Xenopus tropicalis: one gene and its partners. The protein of the gene in region 1 purifies or fractionates together with the protein of each later gene. This does not show direct contact. Links are inferred from orthologs where the notes say so. Each region holds a gene or a part of one and is shown in the gene's direction. Other genes may lie near its edges.

The links.
Region 2: the proteins of ppp2r1a (region 1) and ppp4c purify together in Homo sapiens (affinity purification with mass spectrometry; 7 studies listed by BioGRID and IntAct, with this or other methods). This does not show direct contact. The link is inferred for Xenopus tropicalis from reciprocal best matches to the Homo sapiens genes PPP2R1A and PPP4C.
Region 3: the proteins of ppp2r1a (region 1) and ndufaf1 purify together in Homo sapiens (affinity purification with mass spectrometry; 3 studies listed by BioGRID and IntAct, with this or other methods). This does not show direct contact. The link is inferred for Xenopus tropicalis from reciprocal best matches to the Homo sapiens genes PPP2R1A and NDUFAF1.
Region 4: the proteins of ppp2r1a (region 1) and soga1 purify together in Homo sapiens (co-immunoprecipitation; 3 studies listed by BioGRID and IntAct, with this or other methods). This does not show direct contact. The link is inferred for Xenopus tropicalis from reciprocal best matches to the Homo sapiens genes PPP2R1A and MTCL2.
Region 5: the proteins of ppp2r1a (region 1) and ints1 purify together in Homo sapiens (affinity purification with mass spectrometry; 4 studies listed by BioGRID and IntAct, with this or other methods). This does not show direct contact. The link is inferred for Xenopus tropicalis from reciprocal best matches to the Homo sapiens genes PPP2R1A and INTS1.
Region 6: the proteins of ppp2r1a (region 1) and cttnbp2nl purify together in Homo sapiens (affinity purification with mass spectrometry; 6 studies listed by BioGRID and IntAct, with this or other methods). This does not show direct contact. The link is inferred for Xenopus tropicalis from reciprocal best matches to the Homo sapiens genes PPP2R1A and CTTNBP2NL.
Region 7: the proteins of ppp2r1a (region 1) and ppfia2 purify together in Homo sapiens (affinity purification with mass spectrometry; 3 studies listed by BioGRID and IntAct, with this or other methods). This does not show direct contact. The link is inferred for Xenopus tropicalis from reciprocal best matches to the Homo sapiens genes PPP2R1A and PPFIA2.

What each region holds. Positions count from the first base shown.
Region 1 is NC_030683.2:120,838,333-120,843,587, reverse strand, and holds the start of ppp2r1a (serine/threonine-protein phosphatase 2A 65 kDa regulatory subunit A alpha isoform), read left to right. Parts: upstream 1-2,090; 5' UTR 2,091-2,101; coding exon 2,102-2,179; intron 2,180-5,255. UniProt on the Homo sapiens protein: The PR65 subunit of protein phosphatase 2A serves as a scaffolding molecule to coordinate the assembly of the catalytic subunit and a variable regulatory B subunit.
Region 2 is NC_030685.2:2,447,653-2,451,127, reverse strand, and holds the end of ppp4c (serine/threonine-protein phosphatase 4 catalytic subunit), read left to right. Parts: intron 1-21; coding exon 22-148; intron 149-306; coding exon 307-496; intron 497-1,429; coding exon 1,430-1,559; 3' UTR 1,560-2,700; downstream 2,701-3,475. UniProt on the Homo sapiens protein: Protein phosphatase that is involved in many processes such as microtubule organization at centrosomes, maturation of spliceosomal snRNPs, apoptosis, DNA repair, tumor necrosis factor (TNF)-alpha signaling, activation of c-Jun N-terminal kinase MAPK8, regulation of histone acetylation, DNA damage checkpoint signaling, NF-kappa-B activation and cell migration.
Region 3 is NC_030684.2:115,761,049-115,766,189, reverse strand, and holds the start of ndufaf1 (complex I intermediate-associated protein 30, mitochondrial), read left to right. Parts: upstream 1-1,783; 5' UTR 1,784-1,784; coding exon of another isoform or gene 1,785-1,786; coding exon 1,787-2,299; intron 2,300-4,305; coding exon 4,306-4,491; intron 4,492-5,141. UniProt on the Homo sapiens protein: As part of the MCIA complex, involved in the assembly of the mitochondrial complex I.
Region 4 is NC_030686.2:43,217,386-43,221,945, reverse strand, and holds part of soga1 (protein SOGA1), read left to right. Parts: intron 1-1,473; coding exon 1,474-1,533; intron 1,534-3,003; coding exon 3,004-3,086; intron 3,087-4,131; coding exon 4,132-4,560. UniProt on the Homo sapiens protein: Microtubule-associated factor that enables integration of the centrosomal and Golgi-associated microtubules on the Golgi membrane, supporting directional migration. Preferentially acts on the perinuclear microtubules accumulated around the Golgi.
Region 5 is NC_030685.2:29,740,368-29,744,927, reverse strand, and holds part of ints1 (integrator complex subunit 1), read left to right. Parts: coding exon 1-75; intron 76-272; coding exon 273-381; intron 382-1,467; coding exon 1,468-1,588; intron 1,589-2,517; coding exon 2,518-2,595; intron 2,596-3,515; coding exon 3,516-3,673; intron 3,674-4,325; coding exon 4,326-4,422; intron 4,423-4,560. UniProt on the Homo sapiens protein: Component of the integrator complex, a multiprotein complex that terminates RNA polymerase II (Pol II) transcription in the promoter-proximal region of genes.
Region 6 is NC_030678.2:60,504,660-60,507,967, forward strand, and holds part of cttnbp2nl (CTTNBP2 N-terminal-like protein), read left to right. Parts: intron 1-2,582; coding exon 2,583-3,308. UniProt on the Homo sapiens protein: Regulates lamellipodial actin dynamics in a CTTN-dependent manner. Associates with core striatin-interacting phosphatase and kinase (STRIPAK) complex to form CTTNBP2NL-STRIPAK complexes.
Region 7 is NC_030679.2:52,676,237-52,680,796, reverse strand, and holds part of ppfia2 (liprin-alpha-2), read left to right. Parts: intron 1-159; coding exon 160-335; intron 336-1,295; coding exon 1,296-1,393; intron 1,394-2,589; coding exon 2,590-2,765; intron 2,766-3,699; coding exon 3,700-3,768; intron 3,769-4,124; coding exon 4,125-4,284; intron 4,285-4,560. UniProt on the Homo sapiens protein: Alters PTPRF cellular localization and induces PTPRF clustering. May regulate the disassembly of focal adhesions.

The sequences.
Region 1 (5,255 bases):
TCCGAATATTTAAATGGAACCTCCCTTCTTCTAAACGGAGTGGGTGCCCTCGTATCCGTTGGAAGGACCTTCTGGTAAATAAAACATTAGAGAGGTTATTATTATTATATGATCCCCTTATATATTTATACATAGTTATCATGTCACCTCTTAAGCGCCTCTTCTCCAGTGTAAACAGACCCAACTTGGCCAGTCTTTCCCCATAACTGAGACTTTCCATACCCTTTACCAGCTTAGTTGCCCTTCTCTGGACCCTCTCTAACTCAATAATGTCCCGTTTGAGCACTGGAAAAAGTTTGTATACACAAACTTTTTTTTTTTTCATTTTACCACTTTGTTTTTAGTTTCTTTTCCCTAAAAACTGTTTATTTTGACAGCGTGACTATTGGATTACATATTCTGACCACTAATTACACTGTTGTGTGACTTATACTGTGTGCAAAAGCTGAGTAGGCAGGCGAGAAATCCATATGCACTATTTTCATTTTGGGGTTAGTACATACCGCAGACTTTGGTATATCTTTGCATAACTTAGGAAAGCTTTACGGCTTGGTACTTTGGAGTACAAAGAAATGTTAACCCATTTTAGATTTGGGGGAATTTGTACTTTCCAAAAAATATATGGCTTTCTGGGTGAGTGTACTTTTTTGTAGGATTATCCCACATAAAGAATGTAAATGTATTGATTTTGCAGGAGCTGAAATGACAATACATATGGGGGTATGTTCCCATTGGGGCCCCTACATGCCACATATTTAGGTAAACCTATACATTTTGGGCATCAAACTGTTCAGTGGACCCCTGGCGTTAAAATTTAGGGTGTTTTATCTTGGTACCTAATGATATGTGGGAGATAAGATGCTGCAAAGTGGAAGCTACAAGGGTATTTTTGGAAATGTCATCAAAATTGCCAACTTTAGGAAAGCTTTGCGGCTTGGTACTTTGGAGTAGAAAGACATGGGTACCCATTTTAGATTCGGGGGGATGTGTACTTTTCAACAATATATGACTTTCTGGGGTGAGTGTACTTTTTACTAGCTTTATTCCACATATAATGATGTAAATGTGTTGATGACAGAAATGATAGATCATATGGGGGTATGTTCCCATTGGGGCCCCTACATGCCACATACTTAGCTAAACCTTTACATATTGGGCATCAAACTGTTCAGTTGCCCCTGGCGTTCATATTTAGGGTGTTTTATTTGGTTACTTTATGACCTGTAGGAGATAAGATACTATAGACTGGAAGCTTTGAAGCGATTTTTTAAATATTTTGATAAAAACCAATAACTTTAGGAAAGCATTGCGACTTGATAGTTTGGAGTAGACAGACAGTTGTACCTATTCTGGATTCCCCAGAATCTGTTCTTTCCAAAAATGTACAATTTTCTGGGATAAACCTTCTGTTAGTGGAATTTATGGCCCTAAAATCTAAAGTATGCAGCTTTCTGGAGCAGTGCTTTGGGAATTTGGTAGTGTACTGCTGGATATTTGGTATTGGCACATTCAGGAGACATGGGATTTTCCAAATCAGTTGTATTTTCGTGAATAAAATAAATTTTTGTTTCTGGTATGTGTGTTTATATTATGGAATTTTATTTTTTCATTTTTAGACATTTAGAAGCTTATATCTTGTTACAGAATTCGAATTATATAAATATTGTACCATACGTTGAAAGCTTAGGTTGGCATTATATTGTTTTCCTGTGTAAACTAAAAGTCCCCCCTGAGGAAAGGCCCCTAAAGTGAATGTTCAAAAACTGCCTGGCAAAACAAGTAATACTGGCTAATGCTGTAATTCACCACAGAATCTATCCACCCTCTGTATGGTACAGAAAATACTGGAATAGTAGAACTGTTACTAAGATGCCATCACTTTATGCCCCAACCAATATGTCGGCGCCGCTACGTCTTAAACGTCATGCATCGAAACTCCTCCCTTCCTTAGCGACGGTCTCTCGTATGCCGCAATAGAACCCTCCGCCGTTGCTAGGAACAACACCCGCCCCCTTAGTGTCGTCACGTCCATGCCCCTGCAGGACTGCACTAGCGCCCCCGTTCGCCCTCCCGTTCATTCTAACTGACAGGAAGAAACAAGATGGCGGCGGCAGACGGGGATGATTCTTTATATCCTATCGCTGTGCTCATTGACGAGCTGCGGAATGAAGACGTCCAGGTCAGTGATATCTATGGGGGGTAGGGACGGCGGGAGAGTGCCGCGGTGGTTGCCTGAGGCACAGGTGTGGGCAGGGTTGTGCTGATCCATTGTGAAGGCTCATAGGGAAAGCTAGGCCCGGTGGCTTGTATGAGCCGTCTGACCAGCTATCTCCTTGCTTGTCACGTCACTACTGAATGAGCTTATAGGTCAGGGGAAGCTGCTCCTCTCCCTGATAGCCCCTCGGCCCCTCCCCTTCCATACATTGTGCTTTCATATTGAGACCCCTCCCCTTCCCACCGGACTGTGCCATTCATCGTCAGCCGGGGGCCCCTCCCCTACACCACACTGTGTGGGTCGTACCAACCAGTGAGCCTGGGGGGGGGGCTTCTCTTCCCTCACACAATTCAAAGTGACATTGCCATTCATACTAAGCATTTGTCCAGTGAGCTCATCCCCACACAATGCCATTTCCATGCCAAGCAATTAGCAGGGGTCCCCCTAAACACCCAGTACCATTCATACCATGCATTGGACCCCTACCCTTTGCCTCAGTGCCATGGATTAAATGTGGGTGTTTGCTGTGACTCAGGGCACTGTGTATACATAGGGAAGTTGTCATTCAGCCACTCTGGGATTTTGCAATGATTTAACCAGCAGCTGATGATGTGTAGCTGTTCCAGTTTCTGTACTCGATAGGCCAGTTGCTTTAGGCTGTGACATGGGTGTGTTGGATCGCAGCTGCAGTGCTAGGGTTTCTGCTGGAAACAGTAGCTGGGAGTTTACCAAATTTGACTACATTGTAGTTAGAAAAGTAAAAAGTTTTTCTACAAATTCATTGGCTGTATAAAAACACTTCTAATATGAAGTCTACACTGATTGCTGGTGCTGCCCAGGTCCAGTGGCACCCAAATGCATCTCAGCTGGGGAGTGATCCTCTGGGGGTTCCTGAAGGCTCTCTTCATGCCCATTAGGTGCATTGAGCACTTATACCCCTCGCCGGTGCTCCTGCGCGACGGATAAACAAGACAAGATGAAGAAATTGCCAGTGTTCACACTAACCCACAGCTGCTTGAGGCTCCTATGTGCCAGGGCTGGTTATTCAGCCGCTAGAGACTCCTATGTGCCAGGGCTGGTTATTCAGCTGCTAGAGGCTCCTATGTGCCAGAGTTGGTTATTCAGCTGCTAGAGGCTCCTATGTGCCAGGGCTGGTTATTCAGCTGCTAGAGGCTCCTATGTGCCAGGGCTGGTTATTCAGCTGCTAGAGGCTCCTATGTGCCAGGGCTGGTTATTCAGCTGCTAGAGGCTCCTATGTGCCAGGGCTGGTTATTCAGCTGCTAGAAGCACCTATGTGCCAGGGCTGGTTATTCAGCTGCTAGAGGCTCCTATGTGCCAGGGCTGGTTATTCAGCTGCTAGAGGCTCCTATGTGCCAGGGCTGGTTATTCAGCTGCTAGAAGCACTTATGTGCCAGGACTGGTTATTCAGCTGCTAGAAGCACCTATGTGCCAGTGCTGGTTAATCAGCCGCTAGAAGCACCTACCGTATGTGCCAGGGCTGGTTATTCAGCTGCTAGAAGCACTTATGTGCCAGGACTGGTTATTCAGCTGCTAGAAGCACCTATGTGCCAGTGCTGGTTAATCAGCCGCTAGAAGCACCTACCGTATGTGCCAGGGCTGGTTATTCAGCTGCTAGAGGCTCCTATGTGCCAGGGCTGGTTATTCAGCTGCTAGAAGCACTTATGTGCCAGGACTGGTTATTCAGCTGCTAGAAGCACCTATGTGCCAGTGCTGGTTAATCAGCCGCTAGAAGCACCTACCGTATGTGCCAGGGCTGGTTATTCAGCTGCTAGAGGCTCCTATGTGCCAGGACTGGTTATTCAGCTGCTAGAAGCACCTATGTGCCAGTGCTGGTTAATCAGCCGCTAGAAGCACCTACCGTATGTGCCAGGGCTGGTTATTCAGCTGCTAGAAGCACCTATGTGCCAGGGCTGGTTATTCAGCCGCTAGAAGCACCTATGTGCCAGGGCTGGTTATTCAGCTGCTAGAGGCTCCTATGTGCCAGTGCTGGTTATTCATCCGCTAGAAGCACCTATGTGCCAGGGCTGGTTAATCAGCCGCTAGAAGCACCTATGTGGTTAATCAGCCGCTAGAAGCACCTATGTGGTTAATCAGCCGCTAGAAGCACCTATGTGCCAGGGCTGGTTATTTAGCCGCTAGAAGCACCTATGTGCCAGGGCTGGTTATTCAGCCGCTAGAGGCTCCTATGTGCCAGGGCTGGTTAATCAGTTGCTAGAGGCTCCTATGTGCCAGGGCTGGTTATTCAGTCCAATGGCACCCAAATGCATCTCAGCTGGGGAGTGATCCTCTGGGGGTTCCTGAAGGCTCTCTTCATGCCCATTAGGTGCATTGAGCACTTATACCCCTCGCCGGTGCTCCTGCGTGACGGATAAACAAGACAAGATGAAGAAATTGCCAGTGTTCACACTAACCCACAGCTGCTTGAGGATCCTATGTGCCAGGGCTGGTTATTCAGCTGCTTGAGGATCCTATGTGCCAGGGCTGGTTATTCAGCTGCTAGAGGCTCCTATGTGCCAGGGCTGGTTATTCAGCTGCTAGAGGCTCCTATGTGCCAGGGCTGGTTATTCAGCTGCTAGAGGCTCCTATGTGCCAGGGCTGGTTATTCAGCTGCTAGAGGCTCCTATGTGCCAGGGCTGGTTATTCAGCTGCTAGAGGCTCCTATGTGCCAGGGCTGGTTATTCAGCTGCTAGAGGCTCCTATGTGCCAGGGCTGGTTATTCAGCTGCTAGAGGCTCCTATGTGCCAGGGCTGGTTATTCAGCTGCTAGAGGCTCCTATGTCCCAGGGCTGGTTATTCAGCTGCTAGAGGCTCCTATGTGCCAGGGCTGGTTATTCAGCTGCTAGAGCAGGGGGCTCAAACTCAATTTACCTTGGGGCCGCAGGAGGCAAAGTCAGGATGAGGCTGGGCTGCATAAGGGATTTCACAAAAAAAAGTCGGGAGCTGCTGATTGCGGAAATGACGTTATGCCATCATAACAGTTATTATGGGAAGACGTTCTGTGTGCACAATTAGCCCATAAT
Region 2 (3,475 bases), on another chromosome or scaffold:
ATCTGTTTGTATTTCTGCTAGATCTTTTGTGTACATGGTGGGCTGTCACCCTCCATTCAGACATTGGATCAGATTAGAACTATTGACCGCAAGCAAGAAGTGCCTCATGATGGACCCATGTGTGACCTGCTCTGGAGTGACCCAGAAGGTAACGTGAAGCTTTATGGCATTATTATGGGATGTATCCAGCCTTATGTTTAGGGCTGTTTGCCAGTCGGTACAATGGCTTCCAGGCCTTCTGGAGATATATTATTAGATATCTTGTTCTATAGACTGCTGACTGTGCTCTCTCTCGCTCTCTGCCAGATACTACCGGATGGGGGGTGAGCCCCAGGGGAGCTGGATACCTTTTTGGCAGTGACGTAGTGGCACAATTCAACGCAGCCAACAACATTGATATGATTTGCCGGGCTCACCAGCTTGTCATGGAAGGATACAAGTGGCACTTCAACGAGACTGTCTTAACTGTGTGGTCGGCACCAAACTACTGCTACAGGTAAAGAGACAGTTTAATGGAGAGACATAGGATAAGGATAGGATAAAGGGGAAAAACCCTTACCCTGTAGGCTGGTTTCCTTTTAAACATTAAAGGAGACATATTGGATAAATGGGAAACCCCTAACCCTGTAGGCAATTATGAATAATATCCGGTGCTGGTTTCCCTTTGGGCTAAACATTAACCCTATCTGTAACAATGGCCCCTTTATTGGAGCTCCCTATAGATCCTCTCAGGTCCCTGTCTGGGTTTCAAATGAGGGGTGGGCGTGTCCTAACAGTCCCTGCCAGAAGCACAGTAGGAGGGGGAGAGCCAATCACAGCCCTGCACTCACACAAGCACAGACAGGCTTCAGTTCCCTATCAGGTCAGCCTAGCTGCTGATTGGTTCCTATCCTACAGTACAGAAACACAACTTTTTAAGCACAATCCTTCTATATCTAGAGGAGTATAATTCCCTGGTACATTCTTAATTTTTATAGGATATGTCTCCTTTAACCCTATCTGTAACAATGGCCCCTTTATTGGAGCTCCCTATAGATCCTCTCGGGTCCCTGTCTGGGTTTCCAGTGAGGGGTGGGCGTGTCCTAATGGTCCCTCTAGGAGGGGGAGAGCCAATCACAGCCCTGAACTCACACAAGCACAGACAGGCTTCAGTTCCCTATCAGGTCAGCCTAGCTGCTGATTGGTTCCTATCCTACAGTGCCGCCGGCCCCCCTGCACAGCCTGGGAAAGGAGGCAGCAGGAAGTGGGTTTTTGGAGAAATTTCTCAATAAATCAGCCCCAAACACTACTTTTTAAAGCCCATTCCTTCTGCATTTAGATGAGTACAATTCATTGGCACAATATTGGTTGTCACACAGTGTCCCCTTTAGTTCCGCTCATTGAGTGTGAGTGTGTGCCCCCCCGCAGCCTGACTCTGTGTTCTCTGTAGGTGCGGGAATGTCGCCGCCATACTTGAGCTGGACGAACACCTACAGAAAGAATTCATCATATTTGAGGCTGCCCCCCAGGAGACGAGAGGTATCCCCTCCAAGAAACCCGTCGCTGATTACTTCCTGTGACCCGCCCAATGATGGCCTCTGCACCATTTCCTCCTGATTGTCTTTTTGAACTGCTCCCAGCACAACTCTCTCTCCTCCTCTCACCTCTGGCAACGGGACCAGTGCTGCTGTTTCTAAACAAATGATTTGCCAGCGCCCAGCTCCGCTGCAGAGCATCGCCCCTTCTTTTCTAGATCCATCTCACGGAGCCTCGTGTGTGTGTGTATGTGTTAGGTAGCAACGGTTGGGAAGAGAGAGCTACCGCTGTGTATATAGCATGGCCGTGCCACCCCTACAGTGAATTAGCAATGCCCTGCCAGCTCTTCTAGCAAAGGAGGAGATATCCGGAAACTCCTGTAGCCGTGCTGCGCCTCTCAGGAAACTAGGTAAATGTAATGCTCTGCAGGACTTTCAGGGGGGGTCAGTGTGATGCTTTCTAGTAGGGAGAGAGGGGGGGGCAGCATTATGCAAGGAAACCAAAATACTTCTAGAATTCACAGCTTCTTCCTTGATTTTATAACCCCCCCCCCCCCCCAGATCCGCAGTCATTCCTTATAATGTCTCTTCCACTCGGAGCCTCACGTCCCCTGTACTAAGATGCTGAGCTTACACTCACGTACGGAGTGCCTTAGTGCAAGCGGGGCCCGGGCGCCCAATCCCAGCTGGGGGGGACCAGGAGAGACATGATGATGATGATGATGATGGAACCCGCCGCCCCTTCTCTATTTAGAAGCTGCGGCAGATCTAAGATTTGAGCCCCTTTTGGTGCCGATTGGCAACTTTTGAGCCAAAGTGTTCACCGTAGCTGGCCCCTGTAGCTCAGCGAAGCCATTCTGGGCTGCCGGGAACGTGAGTAGCCATTTTGTTTAACCCTTTGTAAGCGGCTAGCTGAGAGATTGCTTTGGCAAGGAGGCATCTAAAGCTTCAGCTCGTGTATTGCCACCTACAATGCCAAACCTCCGATTCCTTCCCTGGAACAGCCGATATTCCATTATAACTCCCTTCCTTTCGTCTATGGCCCCAGTCTCTTGTTCCGCACTCTTTCTGGTCAAAGATTTTATCCTTTTTCCCTTTTATTTTTATTTTTTTTTTCTTCTAATTTTACATTTTTGGTAGGATACAGTTAAACATCTGCTAATAAAATGAGAAAAAGCAATAAAAATGGAAAATGTATTTGTATATATTTATATGTTAAGTCTGTTAATGCTTCGGTTGGTCAGTAGAAAAGGGGCGGGTGTAGGACCCGTTATCCACAAAGCTCAGGGTATTCTAGATAAGGGGTCTTCCTGTAATTTGGATCTCCGTACCTTAGTCTACTAAAAAAAATTAATTCAACCAATAGGATTGTTTTGCCCCCAATAAGGATTAATTATATCTCCATTGGGGTCAAGTACAAGGTACAGGTATGGGATCAGTTATCCGGAAACCGGTTATCCAGAAAGTTCCGAATTAGGGGAAGGCCGTCACTCTGTTTTATTATTACAGAGAAAATTTAAATCGGTTTTATTTGATTAAAATGGAGTCTATGGGAGACGGGCTTTCCGTTATTTCGGGCTTTCTGGGTAACCGATCCCTTACCTCTACGTTGCAATTGGTCTTCCTTATTTATTTATTTATTTTTATAGTTTTTGGATTATTTGCCTTCATCAAATAGGGGTCACTGACCCCAGCAGCCAAAATCTGTTGCTCTGTCACCTTTTTAATGGCACTTTTTATTCTCATTCTGTTCAGCCCCTCTCCTATTCATATTCTGGTCTATTGAAACCACTGCCTGGTTGCTAAGCTACACAAGACCCTAGCAACCTGATAGCGGCTGAATCCCAAACTAGAGAGCTGATGAACAAAAAGCTAAATAACAAACTATAAGAAAAGAAGACCAATTGCAAATTGTACTTGTAAATTACATCATATGTAAAGTTAATTTAAACGTGACAAAC
Region 3 (5,141 bases), on another chromosome or scaffold:
TTGTGTTAGTTTCCCTTAAATGCTTCCTACTCAAACTATTTTTTTTTATCAACTTTGTAATTTTGTGATATTAAGAAAGGACAAAGTCTTTTGCGGCTTTTTGTGTCTGGTACTGTGGGACTGGCTCCAACTCATATGCACATGCACATGCATTCATGTACACATATAGAAAATCAATAAAAAAGTAACTGCACTCACAGGCCTTACTAAGTGTTAGGAAACAGTTTTATTGTTAACGTTTTGGTCACATACAAGATTTTGCTCCATTTGGCTAATTAAAATGTGGCCAATCCAGAGAATGAATCAGGTCATCAATTGGCAGTTTTTTCTTTTTTGGATATTTACTTTCACCAAGTAGCACTGAAGGCCTAATAGTAAATACTTAAGACATATGATGTAAACTACACTGGTGGCCTGTAATTAGCACGGCTCCCTGAATTTGGTTCCAATCTGGGCACTGTATGTTTTTCCTGTGCTTGTGTGGGTTTCCTCTGGGAACTGTGATTCCTCTTAAACCATACAGTGAGCTTTATTGGCCTTTGATGAAAGTGACCTTAGTGTATGTAAATGATATAGGGACCTTAGATTGTAAGCTCCAATGGCAAAGGGGCAGATGAGTATCATAATCAATGCAATGTGCTGCATTTATATATGAGTGATATATAAATAAAGGATAATATTTAAAACTGAGGAAAAGGGATGCAATATTGCCTAGTATGTGGTATATGTATTAAGCTTTTTACACAAACTAACACGATCTTCTTAACTCACTGTTTCTTATAAATTCATAATTTTGAATGCACGTGATGGCTGGATAGATGAATGATAATCTTAGTTAGGTAGACTAATCTGTAACGTTGTCTTCAAGAATGTTTGTTAGGTGTAAATAAAGCTGTATACAAACGCTTTCCCATGCGTTCCATCAGCAACGCATCTGCGCATGCCTGCCTTTGCCTGCCCGCTCTCACGTTTAATTGGTTGGCTAGCGGTGAGGTCATTAGGAGGCGACACGGACACGCATGCTCAGAGGTTCACGGGTTGTCAGTACTATGGCTCCTTGAAGGAGTGCACTGTGGAGGTGAGCCGCTGTAGCCTTATGGAATAATGGTAATACTGTGTGCTTGCTTCAGCTGCAGCCCCATACCAGGTATATAATGGAACTTGTTGCGGTACAGGCAGCTATGCAGGGTCCTTCAGGGCTTTACCACTTAGGCAATAAAGGCACATAGTATCCAAGCTCCTTTCTGTCATTTACATTGTTTTGCACCAACTTGACCTTCTTTTGTTATGTCAGTCTCTGCTGAAATGATGACCTTGCCTTCCTAAGCTTCTGCTTCCAGGGGTAAGCCTTTTGGTTATTGATGATGATCTCTCTGTATATGTATCAGCATGCATTGCTAGGAAATGTATGAGCCCTAAACCCACAATACCTACTTAGCACATGTCTCTGTCCCTTCCCCCAAGCGAGTTGCTCTCTTAAACTTCACACCTTACCTGATGCTCCCCACTGCTGTAATGTATTCAATGTTGGTTGGTTGCAATGGTGCAGATATGTTTGTAAATAACCCCCCCCCCCCAAGAATCTTTGATGTTGATAATTGCGCCCTGAGGAAAAACACAGTAACTTCTACAGATTTCTTTAAAAAATGTATTTGTATTTAAATGTCTTAAATGATATTGTCTTTTTCTCTCAAACCCCAAATTATTTTTAGGTAAAGGCCCCTGGGTTTCATGCAACATTCAGGATTTTATAAACTGAACATTTTTATTTTATATCTAAACAGCAATGGCTTTAAGCTTAAATATAATACAGAAGCTACATCTGTGCAGACATCCCAGATGGACTAAACCATTCTGCCCATTGTTGCACCCGTCTTCACAACTCTTGCAATGCAAACTGTACAGCAGCAAATATCGCAGGCCTGGCCTCCCCCCAGACAACACTCCTCCTTGGAAAAGGATCAATTTCAGCTTTGAGAAGGGAGTGGCAGGAGTGAAGAAACACTTTGGGTTGCTGAAGAAGGAAGTAGAGGATCATTTGAGAGGTCCTGGGGGAAAGACTTTGAGGGAGAATATTTTGGAGCAGACAAATGTTGTTTGGGAGTTCAGAAGCTTAGAGGATCTGGACAAATGGACTCTATCGTCAGACCAGGAGATAGGAGGGAAAAGTCAGGTGTCTCTAAAGCTGGGAAGGAACAATCAGACAGCTCTTTTTTATGGTACCCTCAATACTGAAGTTCCTCGGGATGGCGAAACAAGATACAGTGGGTACTGCACTATGAAGTCCAAAACCCCTTTGGTAAGTACAGTGCTAGTAAAGAGAAATAATGCACTTCCATGTAAAGGGGTTGTTCGCCTTTATATTTACTTTTAGTCTGATGTAAAGACTGATATTCTGACACAGTTTGGCTTCTGGGGTCAGTGACCCCCATTTGAAAGCCAGAAAGAGCCAGAAGAAGTCAAATAATTCAAAAACTATGATTAAAAAATATTGAAAACCACTTGAAAAGTTGTAACAAATAAGTCTACAGTGTAACATACTAAAGCTGAACTTAAAGAATCACATCTGTTGCTAAATATTTTTAGTGTTCATAAATTTTTTTTTTTTTTTTTAAATGTAACTTTTAAATATGAAGGAATAGCAAATTCACTGTGGGATGCCAATATGTTGGGCGCCCCCCGAGTGAATAAAATTGCTATGTCTTTATCCCTGGGGTTGGTGCTACTGTTGGGAAAAATACACAGTGCTACATGGCTTAATTACCTTTCCCAGGCGTCTGTAGGGCAGACTTAAGGCCATACATGGGCAGATTTAAGCTAGATAAGCCACTCAATGCAACTGCAATAGGAAAGCATTGTTGTGTTTTAGCCTCTGCCCTTGAGCCACTGTCCCTCTTAACAACAGTGTGGTTACTATGCAACACAGAAGAGCTGCGGAACAGAAGCTACACACAGATAATAACTGTCCAAATAGTTATTATTGTTGTTTTAGAATAGCTCTACCCATTTTATTGGTTGCTAATGGGTTACGGCACCTAGGCAAAATTATTGCCTTTTTATATATTGGGTTAAATATATGGCAGTGTCAGGGGGAAATGTTCTATAAAAGGCAGTAAAGGTGTGGGTTGCTGTGCTCATTATTAAATGTTTAAAGGCTACACTGTACCATTTATTCACTGCCTTTATTTAATATTTAGACTGATCTGATAGCAGTTCCAAATAAAAGACTAATGAGAATGTTGGTGAACTGCTACATTTTATATTGAAACCAGTTAAGTGTGCACAGTCTGTTTATTGAATATTTAATGGTAGGTATGTGCAACATGCATCAAACTACAGTGGCCATTAGGGAAAGCTGGAGATTTATAGCTGGAGGGCCAACGGCCTTTGGTTTTTGTTACTTACTGGAGTGGACCATTACCATTTCCATTATAAACAATTTTTATGAAATATGCATGGTTTACCTCCAATTTATTTCCTCTTTTAGGTAAAAGGATTCTGTCATGATTTTTATGGCATACTTTTTATTTCTGAATTACACTGGTTACATAGCAAATAATTCACTCTACCATTTAACACTTTATTCTTGAACCAACAAATGTATTTTTTAGCTGTAATATTGGTGTGTAGGCGCCATCTCAGTGCATTGTGTGTCTGAGCTTTCAGAAGGAGCCAGTGCTACATATTAGAACTGCTTTCAGGTAACTTAATATATCTCCTACTCCAATGTAACTGGAGGAGTCCCAAGCCGGACTTGGATTTCTTGCTATTGAGTGCTATTCTGATACCTACTGGGAGCTGCTATCTTGCTCGCTTCCCATTGTTCTGCTGATCGGCTGCTGGGAGGGGGGATATCACTCCAACTTGCAGCTCAGCAGTAAAGAGTGACTGAAGTTTATCAGATCACAGGTCACATGACTGTGGCACCCTGGGAAATGAAGAATATGTCTAACCCAATGTGAAATACAAAATAAAAAATGTTTGTGCTTTAAAAAATTGTATTTCAATGCAGGATTCTGCTGAAGAAGCTGTATTAACTGATATATTTTGAAAAAATGTTTTCCCATGACAGTTTTTCTTTAAGTATTTATCTCCATAAACTTTAATGTAACAGCTCCCCCAGTGGCCAGATAATAATGAACGTTAGCAGACTGCCAGCTTGGCTTTACCAACAAATAACATTTCACATGTGTGATTGCAACCATGGCCTGTCTTCTCCAGAGTAATAAATCTGTCATTGCAAAAACCTCAGGGTATAAATCAATGCACATAAATGTTTCATGATTGTTTGTTTTTAACATGTAGGGAGCATTCAATCGTAAGCTGCATTATGACTGGTCCAACTTTAACACTCTGTACTTGCGAGTACGTGGGGATGGACGACCTTGGATGGTGAACATCAAGTCAGACAGCTATTTCTCCCAACAAAGGGATGATCTATACAATTATTTCATATACACCCAAGGAGGCCCTTACTGGCAAGACATAAAGGTAAAAGAAAACCATTAAATCCTGTATTTGAGGTTGGGATGAGTTTGCCAAGATTGGGCAAACTAATATCTGGCTGTGTAATAGTTTAATCCCATCTAAAAATGACAGATTGCAGCCACTTCCTGCAGAGAAGAGGTGTCATTAAAAAAAACATCAAGCTTGGGCAGTTTAAGCATGGGGACATTGGACTTCCGGTGGGTGGGCCTTCCTAATGGATGCCATTGTTCTGAGTTTCCTGCTTAGACAGAGGGGTGCCCCATTTCACCCTGCCCGGACCCCTTAGTTGCCCAGAGCACAAAGACTATAGCGGATGGGATGAGTGTATAAGGATAACGGGCAGAAAGTCCTCATTTTTCAGGACTTCTCTCCCTCTGTAACCCAGAGGAGATGGGAGTTTCCCCCATCTGTAAACATCTATTTAAACATAAGGTTTTGCACTACAATATCCTGAGAGTTACACGTAAGGGATGAATCCTAACCTTTCTTTTTTCCTTTTCGGGAAAGGTTCAAATAACTGGCAGTAAGATGTGAAAAAATAATAGCAGCTAATGGTAGAAAATATTATGCAATTTGTATATCTGATACAGGACCTGGGCACTGTGCCAAATGACAATTGTAAGGAGGCTTTAGAGTTCTCATTGTTTGACTCT
Region 4 (4,560 bases), on another chromosome or scaffold:
AATTAGTTTTTACCAACTTTTTATTTAGTTGAAATTAAATACATTTGTTCCCCAAAAAGGCAGTCTTGTTCAAATGCAGGCTAATCCCTGCTTAGTGCTGCTTGCTGCCCCCCCATATCTAACCGTAACCTCATTTTGCTTGAATTGAGTTTATAGAATAGATCCAAATGATGCAAATCCTTTATCCCCCCCGCAGCACAAATGACTGTGTATCCAGTACTTGCTGGAAGGAAAATTCTGACTCCAAAACAAAGTATAAATAGTTTGTGGGATGGTGGCGCTGAGTGGAATCATATTCTTATCTCTTGTAGCATTACAGGCAACAGAACAGCCAGAGAGGCCTCATTATCTTGCTGGTATAAAAATAGAAATGTGGAGCTGGAGAGAGTAACTGCTTGGGCATATAATGTAGCCTTCTATCCTGCTCTATCCCGAATAAGTTAGATGTTAAACAGGTTGTGTAGAAAGCAGTTTTCTTAAAAAAATAAATAAATAAATGCATTTGAATGTATAGTTTTTTCTTTTGTTACTGAAGTATAGAATTTCAACTGCTATCTAATTGCTAAGGCTTTGTTATCCTAGCAGTCAGGCAGCAGTTGAAAAATCATAACGAATCAGTGGGAGAGGTATACATAGTACTGCAATTCTGCCCATATATATATATATATATATATATATATATATATATATATAATATATATATGTGTGTGTAAATGCAAAAATAGAAATGTTTATTACTTGATGTTTCGGTCTCACACAGAAACGTTCATCTGGAGTCATCTTGTTTTTCACTCCAGATGAAGGTTTCTGTGTGAGACTGAAACGTCTATTTTCTATTTTGGCATTTACATTTTGCTCACAATTCTTTGAATCCTAGGAGTGCTGTCCTTGTTCCAGTATATATATATAATATAGTTCATCTAAATGTTCAGGAGCAAATGTTGATCTGGGGGATTTCTGCATATATATAATATATATATATATAAAACTGAAACAGCCTTGATTACTACAGACTAATGAAATAGTGCCCTCTAGTGGCCAAAGTATCAACATTTACAATCTAATTAATTAATGATGAGCGAATTTTTTTTGCCAGGCATGGTTTTGCAGTGAAATTACGCATGTCACCATTGGCAAATTGTTTTGCCACAAAAAATTTGCGGGCATGTAAAAAAAGGCACACTTGTGCAAGTACCTGCATTTTGCTGATTTTTCCCAGTTTCGTTAATTTCTTTGCCAAATCAAAACGGGACGGATCACTAGTTATAACAAACATATAGAATCCTATAATAATATCCTCTCCAGCACCAACATACCCTGATCCTATTCATGGGGCTTGTAGATTATAAGTGCATTTTTTTTGCATCCATTACCCCACAGCAACCAATTAGGAAATGGCTATTACTATTCTATAAAACTGTGCCTTTGCCATGTGTATACCATATAACAGTACCTGTTTTATATTGACTGCAGAAGGAAGCAGATTCCTGGGTGAAAAAAGAACCTGAGAGGAGGAGCAGCTGCTGGAAAGAGGTGAGCAAGTTGGTATTCTCCTGCTGTATTTTCTATGGCAGGTACATGGGCTTCAGTTTGCCCACCCCTTGCTTAGGGGCCAGTCCATCCTACAGTTAGTCCTACGCTGATGCTTTAGCATTTATTGTTTATATTTTTAAGGGTAAATATCACACACCTGAGAATAGTTCTCTACTTTTCAAGCCCAATAAACTGCCTATATAGTACCCCCACTGAGCTTATTCTATTTGGGTTCTTAAAACTGGGAGCCTCCATATATATTAATTGCAATACAACTCCCAGCATGCATCTACCATGGGATCCTGGGAGTTGTAGTTTAAAGCAAATACAAGTGGCAGTTTCCAGGCCTAACAAATGTAGGTGCATTCCTACGCTTTTAAACGGCACAAATATTGTTGCATGTGCTGCTTTCCCTTGCTATAAAAGGCTTCTCTTGCATCAAGCAGGGGCTTCAAAAATAGATCCTTCCACCACAGAACATCCTCTCACTTATCAAGCTGTTGCTTTTGAACCATCGGACATGCTTGTTTTGTGTAGATAAATTGAAATCAACCCAAATGCATAATTTGTCCCCCCCAACCCTCTGGTTCGGCTGCCTATTCCAGATGGCTTGTGGCATAGAGAAATAAAACAACCTTGCTTTTGGGCAGCTCTAGCTAATTGTCAGGGGAGTGTGTGGCCTGACCCCAAACAGCTGCCACCTACATTGAAAGACTATGGTAACTCTATAGTTCCACAGCTGCTCTCAGACATGCCTCTTAACCCTTTCATTCCTACAGCGAAAAAGATGCATCTTATTGAATCTGCATGCATATCTGCCTTTACTTTCCAAGTGCCAGTTTGCCAAGCGTGTAATAAATAAGCCCACCTAAAGGTGCCCATACACGGGCCAATTCTAGCTGCCGATATGGCTCCCTTAGACTGATTCGGCAGCTAATCGGCCCGTGTATGGGCACTACCGACGGGACTGCCCAACCGATATCTGGCCTGAAATTGACCAGATCTCGATCCGGCAGGTTTAAAAATCTAGTCGGATCGAAGACCGCATCAGTTTGTTGATGCGGTCCCCAAACCGACTGCCCCATTGCCGCCAATATAATTTGATCGTTTGGCCCATTAGCCCACACGTTCCCGATATCGCCCACCCCGTAGATGGGGATATTGGGTGAAGATCCACTCGCTTGGCGATCTCACCAAGCGAGTGAATCTTCACGTGTATGAGGACCCTTAAGTTTGCCGAGATGCAATAACCCATAGCAACCAATCAACAGGTAATATTTACTGGCCACTTGTTTAAAACCAAACATTTCATTGGTTGTTCATAGGTTACTGCACCTGGGCAAACACTTTTTATTACAGCTTTATGTAAGGGGGTTATAAGTAGGGTTTTGTGACTTTGTTCTCATGTCAAAGAGCATGATGCCAACAGATATGCCTTCCCATATAAATCCTGTGCTTGTTTTACCCTAGGCTGTCAGCAATAAACTTCAGGACAAAGACATTGACTGTGACTGTGACTGTGACTCCGATGCCAGTGTGACCAGCTTAAAAAGGTAAGGTGTATTGGTACTGCTGTTTAGCCATTCCTGTACTTTGTAACCTTCATCCATTGAGCCCTTGTACCAGTATCAGTTAGTTTGTCTTTGGTGTGTGTGGTGTCTTTGGTGTGTATGATTTAAAGGAATTGTTCAGTATAAAAATGAAAATAGATAGACTGTGCAAAATAAAAAATGTTTTCAATGTAGTTAGCACTAAATGTAATCCATAAGGGCTGGCTAACATACCAGCCAGGACTTGGCTTCCTCCTTTGCAGCTCTCTAACCTATTAAATGTCAGTAACCAATCAATGACTTGAGGGGTAGATATATGGGACATAACCGTTTGCTTTGGAATCTGACCTGGGTGCTAAGAATCAAAAGCAAACTAAGTGAACAGTTATGTCCCATGTGGCCCCCCCTCAAGTCGCTAACAAACTAAGAGGTTGTAGAGCTGAAAGTTGGAAGTTGGGTTCTGGCTATTATGTTAAGGTCCCCATACACGTGAAGATTCGCTCGCTTGGCGAGAGTGCCAAGCGTGCAGATCTTCGCCCAATATTCCCACCTACTGGTGGGCGATATCGGGAACGTGTAGGCTAATTTGATCGCTTTGCCCTGGGGCCAAACGATCAAATTATATTGGCGGCAATGAGCAGTCGGTTCGGGTACCGCATCAACGAGCCAATGCGGTCCCCGATCCGACTGAATCTTTTAAAATTTAACGATATCTGGCCATTTCAGGCCAGATATCAGTCGGGCAGGCCCCTCGTTTCTGCCCCTACACGGGCCGATAAGCTGCCAAATTGGTCCAAGGGACCAATATCGGCAGCTACAATTGGCCCGTGTATGGGGACCTTTAGATATCCACTCATTCCAGCCTTTATAGATTACATTTTTGGTTAACTATGAACAAGAACAACATTATTTTTTTTTATCTATTTACCCAGTTTTATTTTGACACTGAACTGTTCCTTTAATCGGTTGCTTATGTAGAAAATGTGTCTGAATATAAAAGTTGAATATAAAAATATAGCATTTCACTTCCTGTTCAATTTTGCTTTAGGACCAAATCTGTATCTTCCATGTCAGAGTTTGAAAGTTTACTCGATTGTTCCCCCTTTCTGCACGACAACACATCCTCTGCTAATGGCGAAAATGCCAATGAGAGGAGAGGTCTACCAGCTTCTACACTCTTGGTCAACGGTTCTAAAAACTCAGAAAAACATTGTTCATATGAGGGTAATGACAATTCCCTGGCCGGACATCTTCCCAAGGGTAACCTGGTGATCTCATCCTGGGATTATACGATGGCCAAGGCTGATAATCGTGTGGATGGGCAGAAGCACATACAGAGAAGCTACACGGCGCCAGACAAGACAGGCATTCGGATTTATTATAGCCCACCAGTGGTTCGGAGGCTCGATGTGCCTTTGGTCCAAAATAAAGAGGATAAACTCATGGTAGAAACGGGATTCCTGTTTACCATGGCCAA
Region 5 (4,560 bases), on another chromosome or scaffold:
ATAAACTTTCAGGCATTTTGCCTAGGGCTAATGCAGGAGAGGAAGGAAGCTCAGTACACAGATATGGAATTTAAGGTATACAGGGAAATTAAACAACTGCTTTTCATACTAAGTATTTTGTTTAGTAGAGCATATTCTGTCTTTTGATATATTTATGGCTTTACTAATCTTAACAACACCTTGTTTAATCCCTCTACATTAGCACACACCACAGTAATCTTAAATTAAGCACTAATCATCAGTTGATAGCAGCTTTACATCTTACTTTCTAGGAGCGTTTTGTAATCCACATCACAGATCTGCTGGCTGTATCCATGATGCTGGGGATAACAGCACAAGTGAAGGAGGCAGGCGTTGCATGGGACAAAGGAGAAAAGAAGAGTAAGCAATAAAGTACATTGTATGAATTCTGCTTGCTGTACTTTGTCTTGGACACTTTTGAAAAACCACATCACATCTCAATAAGCCTTGCTGTATTTATTGTTAAAGGTGTCCTTTCCTCATATGGGAGGCCTCCCCAAATGAAGCCCCGTAATATTTAATGCAACTGTCACAGATTATCTCTGGCTTTTTAATTACTGGTAAACTTGTGATCTTTAAATACACTGAAAACTATTGTTTGACTGTGTGCAGTTACATCAACAGAACAGTGTCTATTAAAGACCAACATGCAAATTTTAGCCTTAGAAATTCCCAGAAGCCCTCTATCAGAGCCACAGCAGTGGATGGGTCAGGTACACTATGAAGACCAATAACAGTGATATTTTGGTGAATGGTTGTTTGCTGTGATAGATATTTCTGGACGTGAAGCCTGTCGGTCAAGGAGAAGCAAGTTTGAGGTCCATTAGAACTTTTTTGGAACATTTTCAAAATGAAACCAGCTGTCATATACGATGACCCAGTCTCCAACTTAGAGCAGCCGACTAATTCATAAGGTTTTCTCCTTGCTTGAATAATACACTGCTAAATTAAATATTTTAATTTTGCATGTATGTATGTCTGTTCTTCTGTCCAAAGAGATATATATCTATATAGACATATATACATAGGTATCCATAGTAACTGCTGCTGGATGCCCTTGCTATATTTTACCATTTTTTTCTTGGTATCTTTACGTTTAGTATGTTATAGGATGGCCTGTTCTTAACGACTTTTTAATTGGTCTTTATTTCTTTCTTTCATTAAGGATTTTGAACTTCATCATTTTATGATGATTACTATTTTTTATTCTGGTGAATTGTTTTGCTCTAGTTTTATTCTAATGACATTGGGCTATGATGATTTTCTTCATTTCCAACTTATTTTGTCCCTTGAGATTAAATTAGCTCCAAGCTAATGACAGGAAGACTTAATGAGTTAATCTTGAATATTTCCTCCACTCCAGGGATAGCTATTGATTTGCTTTGGATTGGCTTTGTATACAGCAGCTTATATTTCTTTGCTTTTGTATTTTTTTTTCTCCTCCAGATTTAGAGGTCCTGCGATCCTTTCAGAACCAAATTGCTGCAATTCAGCGTGATGCAGTATGGTGGCTCCACACTGTAGTTCCTACAATCTGCAAACTATCTCCTAAAGATTATGTGCATTGGTATACCTCACTTTTATTTATTTTACTGCAGTTTCCCCATTTGATTTTTTTTTAACGCCAAAGAGCTACCACTTTTTTCATACTTTGAAAATGATCTTTAAAAGTATTCTGCAGCATCAAGCTCAACGTTACTTCCAGTGTGTGGCAAGTTTAGAATCGGAACCTCTGAACTTCTGCTCCACAGTTTTAAGTCTTTGCTAATGTTCTATTATTAATAAATAGTAGGCAACCAGGTTGACCAGTAACCAGTGGTGACTTTTACATAGAAATTCTGGTAACTGTTCATTCAAACTTGATTGGCAGTGTGAACCCATGTGGCTGATTTGAGAACACTACATTAAATAGTTTGTCCTGTTGAGCAGAATATATTCGTGTCTGCAGAGATGCAAACAAATTCCGAGCAGAAGAAAAGTAAACTTTTTTTCTGCTTGTAATGCATTCAGAATTTACTTTTGTCCACTTGAAAAAGACTTAATAATACTGTTGCTACATGAGATGTGGCTGTACCCTGTAAAACACACCTCATGGCAGCAACGCCTATGGTTATCTACTCTAAGTGATTTAATGTGCAGTTAGAATCCACATACAGCGTTATTCTGTATTTTAGAATAAAAAATCACAAATCCATGACTTATTTAAAAATGCACAATTTGCTTTTGGTAATGTCTTAGAAACACAAACTGTTTTAGAGACAAAGTTTCTATACTTTGTCCCCCAAGCTGATTTACACCAGAAAACACTGACATCAGTCAGTGCTTTCTGGGGTTGTAGTTCAATAGTTTGGGAACTAGGGGTTGGCGTCTTTAATTAATACAATAACCCAGCTCAGTGGATGAAAAGAATAGAAATGTTGTACAATGCTAAGGTGGTTGGGAGTTGCCAGTGTTGTTATTGCACTCTAATTCAGATTATATTTCTTTTTAATGAAGTCTCCACAAGGTGCTTTTTACAGAGCAACCAGAAACCTACTACAAATGGGACAACTGGCCTCCAGAAAGTGATCGCAAGTACGAAACCATAGTTAAATTTTTTGTGTGTTCAGTACTTTGGTTTTCCTTTATTACTCTCTTAGATAGCCCCAGCATTGTTATGAAAAATTGTAACCGAAGACAGTCTGCTCTGATTAATGATTTTATTTAGAGCCACAGGCACCTTTCATGAGGTTGGGTACTTTAGTGACTGGCTAACTGTCATTATAGGAAAACTTAAGTTAGCTGGAATACTGAGAACACTTACCAGAGGAGAGACTGCTCTTTCTAAACTGCATTGGGCATTACAAACACAGCTGTATGCAATATGGTAGATTCCACAATGACAAGGACAAAGCCTATTCTGATTGTGCTAGTTGGCTGACGGAACATTCAGTTCTCCCTTTTCCTTCTGTCATGCAGCATTGCTTGTGTGCTGAATTGTCAGTTACATTAATGGATAATAAAACACATTTGTGACTTGGGTTTATCATCTGTTTAGATTGTATTTCACAGTATGCACTGCAAAACAAATTAATCCCTTGCTTCGGCCAAGCCATTCTCAATAGATTTTAACTTTACCACCACCAAGCAATGAACAATATATGGTACTGTTCTAAACTGATATAGAATTCCTGAAGCACAAATGCATAAAAGTGGAAAGAGGCAGAAAGTAATATTCTAGGGCTCCCAGTGAAATATAACATTACTTAATGGCTTATCTAATAAATGATAACGACAACTTATGAATACCTATGCGTACAGGTGTGTGTTAACCCTTTCCCTGCCATCAAGCATGCACATTTTTCATTCCGGTGCTTGTAAAATAGGGAGACAAAGTTATTTTCTCTGAGTCAAGCTGTTCTAGATTATATCATTGTCCCCACCAGAATAACAAATCTACAATCTTGCTGAGCTTGAAATTTTAATTTTATTGTGTCCCTTTTTTTAACTAAAAGCTTCTTCCTGCGCCTCTGCTCTGAAGTGCCCCTGCTTGAAGACACCCTGATGAGAATCCTGGTTATTGGCTTATCCCGTGATCTTCCTCTAGGCCCAGCTGATGCCATGGAGCTTGCGGATCACTTGGTGAAGCGGGCAGCAGCAGTGCAGGCTGATGGTATGGGAGCAAGTCATGTATAGAATTAAAAATGTCCTTATTATTTCTGTGTTCCTCCTCCCACCCCTTTGGATATGTCTAACGGAAATATGAACAAGTGATAATATCATTATTTTCATGCTGCTTTGAGTGCACAGTTGCCTAAAATGACATTGGTCTCCAAAAACAAGTTTACCACAAATTTCCTTATGATCTCACTTAGACCTCTTATAGTTATAATGTCCTGACAAGATTCTGAAAGCAGAATAAGCTTGATGGCATTTGGCTATCTGCACAAGGGTGTAAAGAAAATTTCTTGATCATGCACAACTGCTAGATTTTCTGGTGTCCTAGGCATAGATATGCAATAATATTGTACCAGAGTTGGTATTCCCTTTAAACAAAGCATAATTCACCAGGAAAATTAGAAGGCACAGAAGCCCTTTAAGTGCTTTGGATCTTAGAATGTACAAAACCTATGTTCCAAAGCTGTTGATGCTCTGTGCCATGCTACATGTCTACTGGCAACACAAGGTACTGATAGAGTAAAAGGTTTAAGCACGTAGAGGGGTAAAGGAAACATGAGGGAACTTTATTTGGCTATGCCATCAAAGGTTGTCTTTTTGTAAAGTTATAGCAATTAAGGAACTTGAACTTTTTTTTACTTCCGCAGACTTGGAAGTCCTTCGAATAGAAAGAATTCAGCTTCTGGACGCTGTGTTAAACCTGTGTACCTACCACCACCCGGAGAACATTCAGCTGCCCCCTGGGTAGGCATCCATGGAAACTGTATACCAGTGTCTAATTACTACAAACACAGGTTAAAGATAATGGTAATCAGGAAAGAACATGTAACCCGTAGATGCTAATAACTTCAGGTTTAGAGCCTAGTAGCAGAACTACAGCCT
Region 6 (3,308 bases), on another chromosome or scaffold:
TGTCATTTGTAGGAGATATTCAGAGAAATGTTATTTAGATATTGCATGAGGTAGCTGAGCTAGTCTGTGACTTTATAAACAGTTAGAAATAAAATAAACCATAGAAAATTAATTTTATACAAAGGGTAGGGTTGTCAGTGATTATTTATTTCTAACTTTTATGTCATGGGACAGTTATGACAAAGCCATGATTAAATCTTTTCACCTTTATATTGGTGTAGCATAATGTTGCGTAACATTTTAGCTTCTGAAAGAAGATAAGAGTTAGGGCAAGCTGTATGATCAGAATAAAGATAATGAGGGGAATTCACAAAAGTGGTGATATTGTGACAGAATAAAAGTGGAGATAGATTTGTGAGATTTTCTACCTTATTCACAAACCTCTATCTCCACTTTTGTGAATTTGTCTTTTAAACAGACAGTGGTCGGATTTTGTCTTTTGAATGAAATTTTACCAACATTTTTTTATGAATTTGTCTTTAGCTCTTAGTAAATCTCTCATCTACATGAGGCCTGTAATAATGATTTTGACAGAAGGATTTTGCATTTCATTTGCTGTCATTTCACTTTAGGGGCATTTCCTGAAGGGGTATTTTAGTCGACAAGGAAATCTATACATAATTTTTTGGGCTTTTTAATGTTTTCTATATTTCTGTGTAATTTCATTTCTCTAACAAGATTTAAGGGTCTAAATACCCTCTTCATGCACTACTTCTATAGTCCTCACTGATTACTAGTCGACAGCAATATAGTCCACCCCCCAACATACCCGATAAAAAGGGGCCCAACAGAATCAGGGTGCACTAGGTTTTTTCCCAGTGCCCTGTTGGGCCATTCCAACCTTGAATTCACAGTGCCCCAATATTCCAGTTTGGGTGCCATTGTGCACGTGCTGTTTGCTAATTACCAAGATTAGTTTAGCTGTGAACCGAAGGTACACAGCTAAACGTGGGGGACAATGCTGCCAATCATCTCTATAGTTTTGCTATGGGGGCACAGATAAGTTGTGGCATATGTCAGTGAAGTGATTAAAGAGGGGACACTGCTGCTAAAACTAAAGATTTGTCAGGGCGGCTTTACTTTTCCTTTAAATAAAAAATGTGTACAATATATTCGCTCAAAATGTTATTATTGACTCATTCAAGTCAATAATGTTATTATTGACTTGATTCATTGAGCTAAAAGTAGGATAATAATGCAAATGTGAGGTAAAAACTTTGTATATGTAACATTGTATAAATTGCACTTTTTGTTTAGTCAGTGTTTTACTTGTTTATAAAAATGTTAATGGGCTTGTTGCACCTATTGCTCTAGGGTTAGACACAAACTTGTCCTCTGACAATAGCCTGGTAACCACCATTAATATGCTGGTGACCCCCCCTCCCCAATGATGCCTCTACCAGAGGTGTGAAATGGAGACTGGGTGAAATAAAGCAAAACAGAAGAGCTTAGAAGTGATCTGAGTTACACAGCGCTTTACTCCATTGTGAAAATGTTGGAAAAAATGTTGTTAAAATGTAATATAAACGTCGTTTAAAAGACAAATTCCCAAAAGTGCCTTTAAACTGTCTTTCTTTCACCTAAAACTAAAAAGAGTCATAATATAGGCGGATTTCTGTTTGTGAATATGGAGAAAGTGTTTTACACCAGTTTTACCATCACTCTTGCTCCAAAAAAAGGCTATATCCATTTTTGTGAATTCCCCCCGATTTATATTAAAAGTTTAGAAATGTTAAAGTACATATGTAACCTAAGCATCATAGGGGTTGGGATTCATATTGATTATCCATGTCAACTATACACACACATTGCTACAGGTTTTGTAAATTTGCATAGAGCTTTGTATAATCAATACAACAGCAAACAGCATCCCAGAGTATCAATTCCACTCCACCCTTCCCTTGTTTCAACTTAAAGTGATGGATTTTGGAACTTAAAAGTCCATGACCTCTGCTTTACATGGTGGCCAGTTCACATATTCTCTAGGAAGCAGAGAGACTTCAAGTCCCAGAATCTACTAAGGAGGTCCCTGCCCATGGATCTTACAAGTTCAACTATTATTATATAACATAATACTACTTTTGTTTAACCCACTTCAGCAGTAAAATAGCTTCCTTTTAAGCAAACATGGAAATGACAAAGGAGCAGTATAAATAATGACTAAAGTACGCATGAACAGCTTGAATAATAACCATTAATGACAGGTCTGCCGAAAGCATGTCAGTTACTTCAGCTGACTTCAGCTGTGTTTTATTGACTATTGTAAATTTAAATAGGTGAAATTAGAAATAGGCAACAACTTCAATGAGATTTAATCAGTTAGGCTTTTTTTGATTCCAACCCTAAAATTAATCATGGTAATTTTAGTAGGTAAATGTGGAAATCAGAATTATCCAACCTAGAGAAAGATTGGATGAATGCAGTGTTTGATGCTGTACGTATATATGCTAATACAATGAAAAAGTATAGTATTCCTAGCCTAATCATATGTAGCCTTAGTTGTTCTTTAGAAAACTGTTATATTCCCACATATATTATATTCATACATTTATACATGTATTTTTATGCCTCTATATTTTCAGCTGGAATTTGAGAAGTCCCAAGTTAAGAAATTAGAAAAAGAACAGAAACGACTTTCCAGTCAGCTGGAGGAAGAGAAAGCCCGCCACAAGCAGCTGTCATCTGTGCTGATGAAAGAGTGTACAAAAGCCAACAACAGGGCAGTGGAAGAAGGACAGAGAGTAGATGATGTTAACCTAAAGCTGGAAAAGGTTAGGAGCAGAGTAAGTCAGCTAGAAGAAGAGCTATCTCTTGAAAAGAAACGAGGCTTGCAGATAGAAGCACAGGTGGAAAAGCAACTTTCAGAGTTTGATATTGAGAGAGAGCAACTGAAAGCCAAGTTAAATAGGGAAGAAAATCGCACAAAAACTTTGAAAGAAGAATTGGAGTCCTTAAAAAAGACATTGAAAGAGCTAAACACCACCCACCAAGTTTCAGTGCCTTCATGCAAGGTAACAAGTGAGCTGGTGTCTATTTGTGTATCAACAGAGAATGCTGACGTAGTATCTGTGTCATGCCAAACCGATCCCTTCCAACATGAAAAAAGTTACACAGATAATTCTGCAAAATCCAATGTCTCATTTACTGCTCCATCTAAGATTCCTCAGCCATATTCCAAAATAAATGGACACTGTAATACATCAGCACACAGCAATGAGCACATTTTAAAATTAAATGTGGGAGACAACCAGAAAGAAAAGTGCAATGTATCAGATAGCCTTTCTGACAGTGGGAACTCTCCAGTCAGA
Region 7 (4,560 bases), on another chromosome or scaffold:
TGTTAAGTGAACTGCTTCTTCTAGAAGAAATTAGGTGGGCTACTGGTGCCTCAGTACCATTGCTGCCTGGTATGGTCATAGCAAAATGTGATTTCCTTCAAGCTTTGTTTAAATATGTAATATATTGACATAATAGTTCCTTTGGATATTACCTTACAGACATTGGCATATGGCGATATGAACCATGAGTGGATTGGGAATGAATGGCTTCCTAGTCTGGGCTTACCGCAGTACAGAAGTTACTTCATGGAATGCCTTGTAGATGCCCGGATGCTAGACCATTTAACAAAAAAAGATCTTCGAGTGCACTTAAAAATGGTGGATAGCTTTCATCGGTAGGTTTATATAAAAGTGTTATTCACTGATAGCGTCTTACTATTCTTTTCAATGTTTGTGTTTGAATATAATTACATTTATTTTGATAGAAATGATCAGTTTGGTATATGCCTTTATTTCACACGTGAAGGAACCTGATAAATTCCAAAGTATAAGTCAGCTCTCTGATAGTAGTTTTCCTTCAGTAGGATAATTGGCTTTAAGGCTCATGGCACACTTGCCCCTATAGTTAGTGAAAGGAACATTTCCCAGGAGCAGTAACCCATAGCAGCCAATACGATGCTTGCTTTTATACAGGTGCCCAGTAACTGTTTCCTGCTAACAGACCTCTATAGGTGATAATAAGTCTTGCAAACTTTGCTCCTGATATTGCAACAGCCTATGTGTTTTCAGTAGTGATGAGCGAATTTGTCCCATTTTGCTTTGCGGAAAAATTAGCGAAACATGTGTGTCGCATGATTTTTTTTTACACGGCAGCACCCTTTTTTTGACACCTATTTTGCCACGACCACAACTTTTTTTTTCTCTGAAGTTTCAAGAAACAATTCACCAATGGCGAAATGCGGAAATACGCTGTGAATCTATGCCTGCCGAAAAAATTCGCTCATCACTAGTTTTCAGGATAAAACAGCTGGTAACAGGTAGTTTCCATTAAAACAAATGACATGCTGTATGGTAAGTTACTTTGCTTCCAATGGGAAACACCAGCAGAGAATATGCTGCATGTTCCATGAGCCTGAGTGGAACTACTCTGGTGCCACTAAGCAATTACAGTGCTGTGAATGCCTGAGCAGGAAGTCTGTATAGATTTTAAAACACCTGCCATGGACGCACAAATACCGAATATATATATTCAGAAAAAATATTCACTCAGATCCTAAAAAATATTACATATAAACCCATATAAACCCTGCAAATATCTCTAAATACTGTCTTTTCATTTGTCTTAAAATTCACAGAACAAGTTTGCAGTATGGCATAATGTGCTTGAAAAAATTAAACTATGATAGGAAGGAGCTGGAAAGGAGAAGAGAAACAAGCCAGCATGAAATTAAAGGTATGTATTCCCTCTTGTCTCCTTAATAGAATGTTTCTAGAATGATAGCTTCCTAAACAATTTCTGTTGGTTAAATCTTGTATGGACATTAATGTCTGCCATCACGGGGACAGGAAGGAATGTTTCCCCTTTTGAGGCAAAGGTTTTATTTAGACAAAAAAAGCGAACTTGATGGACTTATGGAGTTTTGTACTTTAAAGTACTATGTCATTTTACTGCTATGTTACTACATCTAGCATACCAAGCATAAGTGCTCAATAAATGTTTGTAATATTTCTGTACAAGTAAGTAGTGTCTTTATCAAACATACATAAATGCAAAGATCAAAAGTGACACAAATTGATCACTATAGGACATTGCCTTGTTACCTTAGCTTTCTGTATCTTTTGGGAACCCCCATGTACAGTGTTGCAGGAGCAAGCCGTCCCCATATGCCGAATCAGAACAATTAAAGGGGACCTGACACCTTAAGAAATAATTCAAAATACTTTTCTATCATGTTACTTGAGCAAAATAAACTTTAATTACTATATAAATTATTCAAATATTCTTTCCTTTAGTCTTGAAATTCACAAGACATTCACAAGCAGACAGGTGCCATTTTGTTATTAAGATTAGCTTTGCATCATGCCAAAATCTTGTTTATGCACCAGAATTGGGGACCTGATGTCTATGTCAATGCATAGGCACACAATTGTAGACTGTAAGAAGGGAGGGGAATGTGAGGGGTGCAGTGACATCTAGGGAGTGCTGAAGGGAAAGTGAAAGTAATCTACTGCCCTCCTCCGTGCCTCAGGTGATATGACAGCTCAGATTTTGAATGACATTTACAGATGTTAGAATAAAAAAAAGGATTTGGGTTTTATAATTTGCTGAGGACTTTTATTATACAGCTTTTTATGTAGGAGTGACAGGTCTCCTTTAAATACTTGTGTTATTTTAAAGAGCAGAACATTACAATGAGTCTGATAGGACATCAATAACAAGGGCCTCTTCAGCTGTACAATTCATGCCTCCCTGTTAGTAAAAAGCAGATGCTGCAATATGAAATTGCAATTTGCCACATTATAATTTATATACAATCCATACAAATGTAACACACCTGACACAGAGTATACAAAACACTAATACAGTTTGTAGTTGTACATTTCTTTTACACGAAATGAACACCAATTGAAAAATGTTTTTATTTGTAGATGTGTTAGTGTGGAGCAATGATCGTGTGATTCGCTGGATCCAAGCAATAGGCCTTAGAGATTATGCAAACAACATACTGGAGAGTGGAATCCACGGGTCACTTATTGCCTTGGATGAGAACTTTGACTACACAAGTTTAGCTCTTTTGTTACAAATCCCAACACAAAATACTCAGGTGAGACTCTTAATCCTCTTTATACCACACTGATTTGATTTACATTAATGGGCTCATTTATCAGTTTTCGAGTTTATGAATTCAAGATTATTTTCTTAAATCGAATAAACCTGCATGTCAAATGTTTGCTTATTAATAAGGAGAACTTGTTTGAATAAAAAACTCAAATACCTCAAATTTTTGCAAGTTTACAAATTCCAAAAACTCGAAAATTCAGGTTTGCCAACATGGCAACACTCACTGACTTCTATAGAAACTCGCTTTTAGATGATGGACTACTGGTGCTTTTAGAGGGAGAATTTGTACAGTCAAGCATTTTGCACTTAATAAATAGCAGACATTCGTTTTTGACCCATAATTTGAATTTTTAAAGAAAAAATACTTGAATCATGAAAAAAATCAAATCAATTGAATGTTAATAAATCACCCCCAAAATCTTAAATTATTTCTTAGAACATTTTATAGGTATTAAATGCCTATAATATCTATCAGCTTAATAAAAGGGGGTAGTCTAACATAGATCGACTACACCTGCTATAACAGCAAGGGGTGCTCCATTTCCTCCTGTGCATGTTAATTCTCCCTTTTCCATCTTATCTTCACTCCTTTTCCTCTCTTCTCTTCCCTTGTCCCTTTAGTTTTGTTTGTTCCTATTACATTTTATCCCCCTATTTTTATATTTCTCTCTTCTCTTCTTCTCTTTTTATCCTTTCCTCCCTTTTCCATTACTATTTTCCCAAATATCCCTCCCCCCCTTGAATCTAATTTTAATTCAATCAGTCTTTGTCTTGGCTTTTCGGCAGGGGCATTATTAAATGTTATTGTATTTGACTGTCATATGTTTTGTATTTTATTAAACTAGAGATTGTTTAACACACTGACTAATCCAAAGCTATTAGAGGAAGTTCATATCATTCTCACTTGAATATTTCAGGCACGGCAGATCCTGGAAAGAGAATACAATAATTTATTGGCTTTGGGAACTGAAAGGCGCCTTGATGAGGTAAACAGCTAAATTGTTCAAACTGTTGATTCATTAGTGCTATGAGCAATGTTTCATAATAAAGCAGCAAATAAGGTGTTGAAATCAAAAGATTCAGGAATCTGTTTTTTAACACACATCAGAATCCTGTACTGAATTTTTTTTATTTATTTTTTTTTAAAAGAGCAATTTTTTGGGCAAATTAACATGAGGCAAACTCATTTTTTCACTATTCCATGCACCCTCAGCCATGCTGCTTTAAGGATAAGAACACAAAGGCCATTTTTGAGCTTGTTGACTTTCAAAAAACATTGTAACCAAATTTACTGAAGAAAACTCAGACTCGGTTTCATTTTTGTCATATTTTGTATTGCTAGAGTGATGACAAGAACTTCAGACGTGGGCCCTCCTGGAGGAGGCAGTTTCCACCACGTGAAGTGCACGGAATCAGCATGATGCCAGGTTCTTCGGAAACACTGCCAGCAGGATTCAGATTAACAACAACATCCGGGCATTCACGGAAAATGACAACAGATGGTATGGCTTTATATTTTTAGCTCTGACTGGAGAAACAGAATATAATATATTGTATACTTGCCTCAGATTGACAACACTATTAATATAACACAAAAATGTATTGTCTTAAATGTGTGGTCTGTTGCTAAGGTTCCAGTATAGAACTGAAAATTACTAAGATACAGACAAATGTTTTTCTTCCTGTCTTTCTATAAAAATTCTACATGGATTTTATTGGTGGGCTTATGGGCATAGCAGTGTCAGATCCAGAGCATGCCTAATACTTTCACATATAAC